4 linked regions of the Saccharomyces cerevisiae S288C genome follow. The gene in region 4 interacts genetically with the main gene of each other region. Each region holds a gene or a part of one and is shown on either strand. Other genes may lie near its edges.

Region 1 (2,943 bases), on a different chromosome or scaffold from region 4:
CAGATAATTCTCTATTACATCAAATTCGTGGGATAAGTTTTTTAATCTTACAGCTACTAAATTGGTAACTGTTTTTCTTATCATCTCATTCTTCTTAGTTTTGAATAATTTTTCTGAAATATAACCTTGTCCTTCTTGTCTATTATTATTGATAAATTGTAAAAAGGTCATCTTTAAGTTGACGAATCAACGTGATAATTGTGTAACCGTTATCTTCGCTGTCGTTTTTGCTACAGATATGATTTTCATTTTCCATTGAAGTCTATTGTGCCACTTAATCAAAATGCGTTCGATGATAAATTTACTAAGTTCTTTAATAACTTGGAAAACTAATACACTAAAACACATGCACGCCACGGAGTATGGACATTATAAACGTGTGAACATTTCAAACTCACAACTTGCATGACATTACTCTCTCTTTTGCATCCTTTATTCCTCGACATACCCCATTTCTCACTAATTTGGTATTAGTAATTATGCAGAAAGGTTCGAAGCTGTCAATTCTTTTTAGACATGTTTCTTGAAAGTCTTTACAAAAATTTATCAATTGGAGGCATCTCAAGCTCTCCATTTATAAATGGAAGAAAATGAGCCTCTTCCCTTCAATTTTGCTTAATCAATAACTTCATGTATTCTTCCAATATAAGAGAAGATGAGTAGAAGGAGAAAATAATCACAATTATTCTGTAACTATCATATAATTTTGTTTACATATAATTAAGATACGAATGTGTTCGTTGAATAGGTATGTGGAGTCAGGGTATATCAGTTAGAAGAATGAGAATATTTCTTCTTACCGATATCTAAGGGTATATATCTATATTTTATCATATGTTGAATCTGCCTTCTCATAGTTAAAAAAAACAATAATATGAAATACATCAATAAGATGGGCCAAAATACTGGAATATCGAAGATTGAAAATAGCGACAACAAGAGGGAAATGACAGTGGCTCTAATGCTGTTATACCAGAATTTGAACTCTGGTAATCTTCTGATGAATGGACGGAATTCTTCTGATTTTTCTCCAGCTTCCAATTCGTTGTTTTCTTCATCTTGCTGTAAGGACATATCGAATTTTGGGGTCAAAAAGGCTAAAAATTGATTCAATAAAAATAGACCTAGACCATAACAAATCACATACCAGCCTTCGGCCATTGTAATACGAACCATAAACAAACATAACAAACCACCCAATACAGCCCACCTCTCCTTAGCGTGAGGAGTGACTTTATCCAAATAGTGTTGATATAATAATTTCATTGTATTCATCTTAGTGATTAAGGGGTTACTTGAACCACCGTTCATTGTATCAGAGCTATCGTAATCCATCTTGCTTCCTTTTTTTGATACTCTATGCCTTTCGTGTAACACTTAGTCCCAAATCGAAATCGCCTTTCTTGTATCGTTATTTTTCTTATGTATAATTCGTGTTCTACTGCAGAGGCGTGTTTTGACAAGTTTTTTTTTCCTCTGCGAACGAAAAACCCACAATTTTTAACCTCATTGAGGTAAGGTTTTCCAGAGGAGAGGTTGAGGAGCCCTGCGAAGCAATTATATTGAATCATTCACATGCTTGTTATTGTTCTGCAGGGCTTGGCAGGTTTTTTATCAGTATGCATAATTGAAGGAGAAAGTATACATGAAAGGTTTGACTAACTAAGGGAGAAAACTTCCATTTCTTACATAGATCATCGCCATTCTATGTCAAAAGCGCTATAATAAACTTCATCGATCTATTTACGGGCTTTCATATGATTTATTTCTGCTAGATTTTGTTGGTAATGGTCTGTACTTGTATTGCGCGTTGCATTATTGTTATTCATCTCTGGTGAGGGAACAACTGTCTCAAAGATTCCCACTTTTTTATCCGTTGAATGATGCCCGTAGTATACCTATATCCAGTTTCCTCATTCTAAAAGATTTTTGCGTTTCCTGTTGCTGCATGATGGTTTTAAGGCAGTTATACTATTATAGGTCAACTAAACATATTTATCAGGGCATTTCCATTACTTCCATAATAATTATAAGTGTGTTCCTTGTATTAGGCATATTTACATATGGCTGTTCCATCTCTAATTTACCGTTGAAAAATTCAGGTAAATTTGGCGTTTTCTATTTGGAACACATAAATTATTTGTGGGTAATGGCAAATCTGCTTAAATGTTTCAAGTATGTGCCTCAAATGAGTATAAACTGGATGGGATGCTCAACAGTAGGTTTATCATCAAAGTTTGCATTGATATCATTTTTGGCTGAATCTATCGATTTATTAGGTAGACTGGTAATACCGACCAATGCATTGTTTTACGAGATACCATTTAATTCAACGCCCTTTTGGGTAAAATTGATACAATTTGTCACCTTATTGGTCATACTTTGTCAAGTTCAGTATGTTTACGTAGGACGGAAACCACGGTTGCCAAAAGGAAAACTATAACAAGGTCAGCTCATTCTCTACCTTAATGGCTTTGCGATGTTTGCAAATTTAAGGAGTTTTAGATAATGCATTTATTATTACTATTTTTTCTTTTATTTTTCCATATTTACAGGCGACATACTATGATAGAATAGAATCTAAAGTTTTTTACCCAAAATGGAGGTAGCTATCTTTACACCAGTGCCAACATGTCTTTCTGGGTCTGATTGAAAGTCTTCTAGAGTTACAGGTTTTGTATATTGTAATAAATTATCTAACTCTGCTTTCATTTTTTTTCTTAGCTCTTCATCTCTTGTAATAATGAGAGCATTCGATTCCAAATCTAATGAATACGCCCTTCTCGTATAGTTTGAAGATCCTATAACCGTGATAAAGGGTTTCCAATTGTTAGCATCATTTTTATCACGAGCGGAAAGCCAAATACCTTTTGCGTGATATGACCAACCATTCGGCTTATTTACTACGCCTCTTTGCCATTCTCTTAATGTAATAGCATGATC
Region 2 (3,400 bases), on a different chromosome or scaffold from region 4:
TCTTCTAATTTCATGGATTTAAGCACAATTGCAAGCGGTGATAACGATGGGAAAGAATGCGATACGGCGGAGGAGAGTGAAGACGAAAACGAAGATACAGAAGACGAGCACGAAATTGAAGATATCCCGACCACGTCTGCTTTTGGCTTAAATTCTTCCGCTGAATACCTTGCATTCAGATTACGAGAATTTAATAAATTATGACCATGATAAATTCACCACATGTATCTATATATGTTCATGCATATACCATATATATTTTGTTATTCATACGATAGACCTCAATCGTTTTGTTGCCTTTCAAAACGCACAATTGTAAACCTAGCTTACTATTTATCTATCGCGGTCCAGAATGGCTTTCCTTTTTAAATTCATCCCAGAAGCCACGTCGGAGTAAAGTATTCGGCCTTGATGACTATTTCGAATCGAAATGAAAGAATAAAAGGAACTAGGAGGTTGTTCCAACAATTTTCCATGCCGTAATTTCATCGGTTATTAGGTTACCAGCATTTATCTCAGTTTATTTGAGTCAAGGTAATTTATTTTCATTCATTACTGTATGGAGTAAAAATGAATTCCATTTATGTATTCGCACGAAGAGAAATTTATCATCCGTCAGAGACACCAAATTACGGCCGAATTTAGATTTGTTTGCACGTAAATATGAGCCAATGAAAGCGTTATTATTCAATGTTTCCAAATTGTTTTCCACCGTTTTATTTTTCCCCAAGAATTCGCTTTTATGAATGTTTTTAATATATGCAATCATTTTATCAAATCCACCGATGATAAAGTTCCAGTGTTCACTCAACATTTTCATAGAATCGTCATGGCTTCTGGAATCGACTGTTAAAATAAAACAATATCTTCTTTCATTGCCTCTAGCATTTTCATCATACAGTTTAAAGCCTATAACTAAGTTCAATCCTCTAAGATCATCAAAAAATATAAAAGGCATATTATCATAAATCATTGTTTCTTCAGAAAAGGCTCTTTTAATAATAGAATTTAGCAATTGGTATCTTATAGAAGAATATTGGGTAGTTATAAACGGAACATCTTCGATGAAGCACCGCATCGATCTAGTTGACTCTTCAGGAAACTGTAAAAGACATGATTCGCAATATGATTCAGTTGGATAATCAGGCACTAGTAATTCTTCACCTAGCGTTCCCTTTTCTGCGGATTGTGTAACTGATATGATCCTTGGGCCATGCTTGTCGCAGAAATGAGCCAATGAAATCACTGTCGAGGACATTCTATGCATCTATTTCATCAACCATTTAAACGCTAACTTATTTTATGGAGGTGCTAGTTAGTTGGACTTTATTGCTTCATTTATCGTTTGATGGTCATCGAATAGAAGATTCCTAAGCCCTTTTCTTTTTACTCAAGATTTTCTTTTTCAAGCGTGTTTTTTCTGGCAAGTACGAAAACGGCATCTTCGAACTTGGCGAATGAACAATCGGTTTGGTTCAACATTTCCAAGAACAACTACAACATACTATCAGTGTTACTTTCAAAAGTCTTTTAATACATTTGAAATGATATTCAGTGGAAGTGGAATGAAATAGGCCACAGTGAATAGGCCACGATACACACAGCATGTGTCATGCTCAATACCTTGCACCTGAATCTATATAATCTTGTAGTTCACCATTATATACATAACTCAGAAGAAGAAAACAATACGCATATTGGATAGTGCTCCATCGCTTTTAACAACTGATAATTTCAGTCATCTGGCTCAGGGTCTTGTCGATTTTTTTTATTTAGAAACTATCCGAATAAAAAAACCGCAGGAATACAAAGCGATGGGAATTGCTATTTCACTGAACATGTATGTATACCGTATACCGCATAAAATAACTATAAACCTACACCATTAAACGATGTGTGCAAAGAAGCTCAAATACGCTGCTGGCGATGACTTTGTACGCTATGCTACACCTAAAGAGGCCATGGAGGAAACTAGACGTGAATTCGAGAAAGAGAAACAACGACAGCAACAAATAAAGGTTACTCAAGCACAAACTCCCAACACTAGAGTCCACTCAGCTCCAATTCCCTTACAAACTCAATATAACAAAAACAGAGCAGAAAACGGTCACCACTCCTATGGTTCTCCCCAAAGTTATTCTCCAAGACATACGAAAACACCTGTGGATCCTAGATATAATGTTATCGCACAGAAACCAGCAGGCAGGCCTATACCTCCAGCGCCAACCCATTATAACAACTTGAACACTTCCGCTCAACGGATAGCTTCCTCTCCTCCTCCCCTAATTCACAATCAAGCAGTGCCTGCACAACTCTTGAAGAAAGTTGCACCTGCTTCGTTCGATAGCAGAGAAGATGTACGAGACATGCAAGTGGCCACACAGCTATTTCATAACCATGATGTAAAGGGCAAAAACCGACTGACAGCTGAGGAACTACAGAACTTACTACAAAACGACGACAACTCCCATTTTTGTATATCATCAGTAGATGCGCTGATAAATTTATTTGGTGCTTCCAGGTTTGGCACTGTCAACCAGGCAGAATTCATCGCCCTATACAAAAGAGTGAAAAGTTGGAGAAAAGTTTATGTGGACAATGATATCAACGGATCGCTCACCATTTCTGTAAGCGAATTTCATAACTCACTTCAAGAACTAGGATATCTAATACCTTTTGAAGTTAGCGAGAAAACATTTGACCAATATGCTGAGTTTATAAACAGAAATGGAACAGGAAAAGAACTAAAGTTTGATAAATTCGTTGAGGCGTTAGTTTGGCTAATGAGATTAACAAAATTATTCAGGAAATTCGATACTAATCAAGAAGGCATTGCAACCATACAGTACAAAGATTTTATCGATGCTACATTATATTTAGGTCGTTTCCTACCTCATTGATGAAAACCATTCGTTCTTTCTGGTCGTAATACAAATAGAAGAGGTAAACCAATCAATGGCCCGTTAGTTTGCCATTTGCTGCATCCTTCCCATGCAAAGTGTCTTCGTATTTAGTGATGTTTTGTTAGCGACACAAAAGAGACCTCGATGACAGACATTTTTTTTTCTTTACTTAATGTATTATAAGTGTGTCTGACCTCGACTATCATTATAATATTAATTTGAAGTTCTATTTTACATTTATATGAGTTATTCCATTACATAATAAGGATATCAAGAGCAGATTAGTGTCTTTTAGATTATACATCTTTTTCCCCCCTTTTTTGTTGTTGGTAGTGGAAAGAAAAGGATCAATTAACAGAAATAAATAAATAAATAATAAAAACCTAAAATTCCTTTTGCGTCATTGAATTTTTATTATGAAGTCAAAAGGGAGTCGGTTGTCAACAGACTGTCCTGTCGAATTTCCCAAGATAGTCTCTGGATTCGCTGAGGAAGTG
Region 3 (3,122 bases), on a different chromosome or scaffold from region 4:
AAATGCCTTTTCGCCTCTAAGCCACTAGGATTGACCATTGATACTTCTACTAGAAGTAATGCTGCATCGTGTACCGAAAATGATGTAAACGCTACTGCCTCAAATCCTCCAAAAAGTCCAAGCATAACGGTTAACGAGTTTTTCCATTAGAGCACTAGAGCATAACTAATACTATAAATTAGACAAAGCAGAAAAAGGGAAAAAGGTTCATGCTATGATAATGTAAAGAATATGCGTAGAGATATCTATATATCCATTTATACGTTTATATACTTGCGTGTTTACTTTGTATGGCATAATAACATGTATGTTTGCATTAGGGATTTGTTTTAGTGTATCCAAGAGCGATTAGTATAGAAGGAATGTATGTATGTGTATACGATATTTATATAAAGGGAAGTTGGCTAATTTTTTGCACACTTTCGTCCTCTTTCCATTTTCAATGAATGCGTAGAAGCACAGACTGGGAGTGGAGAGAGTTCGCAGTTTTGATCTCTTTCTCAATCTTTGTTCTCCTCTGCCGCCTTGTGATAAGCGTCTATAGTTGCTAAAGAGGTGTATTCTATAGTGTCCACTTGGGGACAATTTCTCCGAATAAGGTTATAAATCACATTGCCCGGGCCAAAGCAAATACTCTTATCAATTTCCACTGGGGTTCCAGAGTTTATGGTATCATAACACATGGTGAATTGCACAGTCCTGCTTGAACACTTAACGAATCTATCTAGGGCATGATGAATATAGTAAGATATATTACCATCTAAGTTAGCTATTATTGGATGGTTCAACTCCATCAACGTGTGAGTTCCGTTTTTCTTTAATATATCCCAAATGTAGTCATAGAGTGGTTCCTGAACGGGCCTCAACACAGTGCTATTATGGAAGGGGATGTTGTATGGGTTAGTTAATTCTGTAATTCTTAAACGCGGGAACCTTAAGTTCAATTCTGTTCTTAAGGACTCTAAATCATCAACCAGACCGGTGACTACACATTGCTTTACTGAATTTGCATTTGCTACAGAAATGGTATTTTGTGAAGATGATAATAAATTAGGGGAATTTAGTAGTTTTTGCACTTCTTGCGGTAAATCTGTGGCCCTCGGAGAAGAGAGTGCCCACATTTCAAATTTGTTGGATCTGTTGATATTGTGGGCTACTAAGTACTTTTCAGTAGATGTTACCATTAACTTATTTCTAAAATTAGCAATATCAAAAAGATCCTTTAACGAAAACAGTGAATTAACACTCAGACATGTTAACTCGCCTAGCGAGTGACCCAAAAGGTAACATTGTTCATTGTCTTTCTTGTCGGGGGAATCGATCTTAGTCATATTTTTTGGTGCTTGATCTTGAGGATCAGAAGGATTCGAGAGTATCTGGTACAATTGATAGAAAAGGTTGGAGCAGACTGCAATGCTTCCGGGGCTGGAAGGGTTCTGGAAGATGTACTGCAATAGATCATTTGATTCCTTGCCGTTCTGACTCAGTATTGTTTGGAATTCTCTTGATTTGTTTCTTATTATCGCTTTTAATATCGAAATGGAGATGGAGGTCCCTTGACCTGGGAAGGTTAGTAGCTTCATACAAACGCTTATATATGTGTACCACGATCAGAAAAGTGCAAAACGCTTTGTTACTACCCTCAGTGTACGTTATTGAATAGTTCTAATATGCAGCAAGTTACTGGTAAGCTTTGTTTTACCCTTGAGTTCGATACTCAGTTTACTTCCTCCATCGGAGGTTGAAATGCGCCTTGTCATACGGCCAAAAAATGCCATGTAAGAAGATGACACTTTCTGCATTTTGAGTATATTTAAGGGCCTATAATTTTCTTCCAACTTTCTCAAGACAAGCATATTGTGTACTTTCGGTTTAGCAAGCCTTTTTACTTCGTTAACACAAGGCGATGCTAACGTGTGTTTACTGTTTTAGAAGATCGGCATTTATCAAATGTAAGGACAATGAGACATGGTTGACCAATTAGTTCTTCTCAGATAGGAGTTCTAGTTCTTCTGCATACTACTTAGTCCTCTTCTGTCGTTGACATTCAATTGCTTGTGCATTTCTAACATGAAATAGTGGTACTACGAATGCTATTATTCTATGCCAGGCAAATTCCTCTGGAACTTTTTTTTTTTCAGTTTTTTCGTGGTGAGCTTTTTTTGCCTGTCTATCTCGAAAGATCTTGTTGTTGATGACTCAGTGCAGTCGCGATCACTTTCGACTCGACATGCATTTGCAAGTAATTCTGTTATAAAACGTTCTCTTCGTTTTTTCAGTCTGAAGCTCTTCTGCACTTTTTTACTGGGTTAGATTCTATATAGTCAAGTAATTCGAGGTAGCATCAAAGTAATATGTCATCAGACTCAAACGCAAAGCCATTGCCTTTTATATATCAGTTCATATCAGGTGCCGTCGCCGGTATTTCTGAGTTAACTGTTATGTATCCGCTTGATGTTGTTAAGACAAGATTTCAACTGGAGGTGACGACGCCTACTGCCGCTGCAGTAGGAAAGCAAGTAGAGAGATATAATGGTGTCATCGATTGTTTGAAAAAAATTGTAAAGAAGGAAGGGTTTAGCAGACTTTACAGAGGTATTAGTTCACCAATGTTGATGGAAGCACCAAAGAGAGCCACCAAATTTGCATGTAACGATCAATATCAAAAAATCTTCAAAAACCTATTCAACACGAATGAAACTACGCAGAAGATCTCCATTGCGGCTGGTGCATCTGCTGGTATGACAGAAGCTGCAGTTATTGTTCCATTTGAATTGATCAAAATCAGGATGCAAGACGTCAAGTCCAGCTATCTTGGACCAATGGACTGTTTGAAAAAAACAATCAAAAACGAAGGTATTATGGGGCTATACAAGGGTATCGAATCTACCATGTGGAGAAACGCTCTTTGGAATGGTGGCTACTTCGGTGTTATCTACCAAGTGAGAAATTCCATGCCCGTAGCAAAGACAAAGGGACAAAAGACCAGAAATGACCTTATTGCAGGTGCGATCGGTGGTACGGTCGGGACCATGCTTAACACTCCCTTTGACGTGGTGAAATCCAGAATCCAAAGTGTGGACGCGGTCAGCAGTGCTGTTAAAAAATACAACTGGTGCCTA
Region 4 (3,047 bases):
ATCTGTTCTAAAAGTATCAATATTAGTGTACCATTTTTTCTTCCTTTTTTAAATAATTTCCACGTTTCTTTCTATTGTTCCTGATCTTTCGAATTTAGTTGTATTTCACTTCACCTACTGTAATAACTTTTTTTTTTTAGAGCACAATAAAATTTCACATATTTTCCAAAAGCAAGGGCGGTAAATCAGAAAAGATTAAGCTTTAATGAAAATCTCATAGAGACCAGATGAAGAATATTGGTGGCAGCATAAGCGCTAATACTGAATAGATATACGCATTTTTTTTCAAAATATCTGTTAGTACATTTATACAAATATATTCGTTTATACCTCTTCTTTAAACAGGCGCATGTGTAAATAAATATGAGACTGATTCTCCATTATGCAATCTTCTGATAGCTTCTGCAATCGTAGGGCTGATATCCACCTGATCGACAATGTCCAAATCCAAATCAACAGGTACCGTGTTGGTGCAAACAATTCTTGATAACCTACTATTTATTAACTTCTCCCTAGCTGAGCCAGAAAATATACCATGTGTGACAATAGCGATAACCTCCTTAGCACCGTGATCCATTAATGTGTCACAGGCTTTCACCAGCGTACCACACGTGTCAGCCATATCGTCAATCAACAAGCATGACTTACCAGCAACATCACCGACAAGCAGCATTCGCGAAACTTCATTAGCTTTTTGCCTCTCCTTATGAATCAAGGCAAAATTCATATCCAGCTTGTCCGCTAAAGAAGCCACCCTTTTCGCACCACCAGCATCAGGCGATACCAGTATCGCATTATTGAAATCTGTTTTGGTCCTTATGTAATTCAACACACTTGGTTCACCGTATAAATTATCAACCGGGATATGAAAAAACCCTTGAATTTGTGAAGCATGGAGATCCATAGTAATAACATGATCACAACCCGCAGTTTCCAAAAGATTGGCAATCAGCTTCGCAGTGATGGGCGCCCGCGATTTATCCTTCTTATCTTGTCTAGCATAAGGGAAATTTGGTATTACTGCCGTAATTCTTCTGACTGATGCCGTCTTACAAGCGTGAATTAAGATAAGTAATTCCATTAAGAAATCGTTGATTTCATGTTCCCCGTAACCAGTTTGGATGATATATACGTCTTCATCACGAATGCTTTCCCCTATTGTAACAGACGTCTCTTTATTTGAATACTGATATACCCCCACTTTAGATAACGGTACACCAAGCCTTTGGGAAATAAGCTCAGCAAGCCCAGGATGTGAGTTACCAGCTAACAACTTAATACTGTTTGTAGACATATTCAACGAAACTTACGACAAGATAGTCTTTGGATGATGAGGAATATCCTCTTCTTAGCAATCCCTCGATGCCTCCTCATATCATCTATTGTTCAAAATTTTTTCATTGTTGAAAAATAGTCACGTGCTTAACCATTTTGCTGCGCGATTTGGTAGGAGGATAAATACACGGGCATACCGTATCTGTTCAATAGCAACAATGTCGGAGAGAGCTAAACTAGCCAACTCGCCATCCTATTCCACTGGTCGCTTGAGTCGATATCCTTCCACAGCAATATTGCACTTTACAATTAGGATAGCCTCCCCAATAAAATAAGGAAATTTTGGTTATTTGTGTTCAGAAAAAGCCGAAATCGATTGCAGAGAACAGAAAGGAACTTTCCGATTATCACACTTTAGGAGCCGTGATAAAGAAGACTACCATCGCATATCGCAGAAAAGACTTTAAATATTAACTAAAACCGCATTCGCAAATTGCAAACAAAGTACGTACAATAGTAATGGCTACAAAGCAGGCTCACAAGAGATTGACGAAAGAGTACAAGTTGATGGTGGAAAACCCTCCACCATATATTCTTGCTCGCCCCAACGAAGATAATATTTTAGAGTGGCACTATATTATCACAGGACCTGCGGATACTCCTTACAAGGGCGGTCAATATCACGGTACTTTAACTTTCCCGTCTGATTATCCATACAAACCACCGGCTATCAGAATGATAACACCGAATGGACGTTTCAAGCCCAACACACGATTATGCCTTTCTATGAGTGATTACCACCCTGATACTTGGAATCCTGGCTGGTCTGTCTCAACCATTTTGAACGGGTTACTAAGTTTCATGACCAGTGATGAAGCCACGACAGGATCAATTACAACATCAGACCATCAGAAGAAGACATTAGCAAGAAATTCCATAAGTTATAACACTTTTCAAAATGTTAGATTCAAATTGATTTTTCCGGAAGTTGTACAGGAAAATGTAGAGACATTAGAAAAGAGAAAATTGGATGAGGGGGATGCGGCAAATACAGGTGATGAAACAGAAGACCCTTTTACAAAGGCTGCGAAGGAAAAAGTCATCTCGTTGGAGGAAATTCTAGACCCTGAAGACAGAATACGCGCTGAACAAGCGTTGAGACAATCAGAAAATAATTCCAAGAAAGATGGCAAAGAACCTAATGATAGTTCTTCAATGGTTTATATTGGTATCGCTATTTTTTTGTTTTTGGTTGGCCTTTTTATGAAATGAAGCCATTAAATGAACTAAACTTTAGATAAATTTTGACAACACAGAATAGAAATCAATAGTATTATATAGACAAAACGGATCTTTTTATTATGAACATTGTGAATTATTAATTATATTTTTGAGTATGTATTGACCAAGAAACCTCAATAAAAATGAGGTGAAACCTAGGGAGACAGAAACTCCCATTTCAAAAACCTTCAACTTTCATTATAAGCTTACCTTGAGCACGTTGTGTAGCCATATAGGAAAATGCTTCCTTGAAATTTTTCCAGGAATAAACCTTATCAACAACGCAATCTACGACTCCCTCATTTAGCAGCTTGCCGCATTCATGTATCCAATCATTCTTCTTGGGGATAATCTTGATATTGGGGTCAAAGTAAAAATGAGAATAATCGTATGACCATAACATTGATCCAAACATTTTTCTTGCATTGGCGCTAGGGTTATCCCAAGAATCAAAGACGTCTTTCTTATAATTTCCAACATAATCACCAACT

Evidence for each region.
Region 1: mutations in UBC6 (region 4) and YCL002C together harm fitness more than expected from each alone (negative genetic interaction), as found in Saccharomyces cerevisiae (2 studies listed by BioGRID).
Region 2: mutations in UBC6 (region 4) and PEF1 together harm fitness more than expected from each alone (negative genetic interaction), as found in Saccharomyces cerevisiae (2 studies listed by BioGRID).
Region 3: mutations in UBC6 (region 4) and MCT1 together harm fitness more than expected from each alone (negative genetic interaction), as found in Saccharomyces cerevisiae (2 studies listed by BioGRID).

What each region holds. Positions count from the first base shown.
Region 1 is NC_001135.5:110,308-113,250, reverse strand, and holds YCL002C (uncharacterized protein), read left to right. Parts: upstream 1-1,575; coding exon 1,576-1,617; intron 1,618-1,693; coding exon 1,694-2,443; downstream 2,444-2,943. Other genes in the region: YCL001W-A (uncharacterized protein), read right to left, coding at 1-171; RER1 (protein retrieval receptor), read right to left, coding at 769-1,335; PGS1 (CDP-diacylglycerol--glycerol-3-phosphate 3-phosphatidyltransferase), read right to left, coding at 2,581-2,943.
Region 2 is NC_001139.9:604,244-607,643, forward strand, and holds PEF1 (Pef1p), read left to right. Parts: upstream 1-1,892; coding exon 1,893-2,900; downstream 2,901-3,400. Other genes in the region: RSC subunit protein RSC1, read left to right, coding at 1-204; LST7 (Lst7p), read right to left, coding at 530-1,258; septin SPR3, read left to right, coding at 3,320-3,400. UniProt on the Saccharomyces cerevisiae protein: Calcium-binding protein that is required for polar bud growth and cell wall abscission. Can also bind zinc ions.
Region 3 is NC_001147.6:755,976-759,097, forward strand, and holds MCT1 ([acyl-carrier-protein] S-malonyltransferase), read right to left. Parts: upstream 1,584-3,122; coding exon 501-1,583; downstream 1-500. Other genes in the region: RCN2 (Rcn2p), read left to right, coding at 1-150; ODC2 (mitochondrial 2-oxodicarboxylate carrier), read left to right, coding at 2,355-3,122. UniProt on the Saccharomyces cerevisiae protein: Involved in biosynthesis of fatty acids in mitochondria.
Region 4 is NC_001137.3:357,768-360,814, forward strand, and holds UBC6 (E2 ubiquitin-conjugating protein UBC6), read left to right. Parts: upstream 1-1,794; coding exon 1,795-2,547; downstream 2,548-3,047. Other genes in the region: ribose phosphate diphosphokinase subunit PRS2, read right to left, coding at 338-1,294; AST2 (Ast2p), read right to left, coding at 2,735-3,047. UniProt on the Saccharomyces cerevisiae protein: Catalyzes the covalent attachment of ubiquitin to other proteins. Functions in degradation of misfolded or regulated proteins localized in the endoplasmic reticulum (ER) lumen or membrane via the ubiquitin-proteasome system.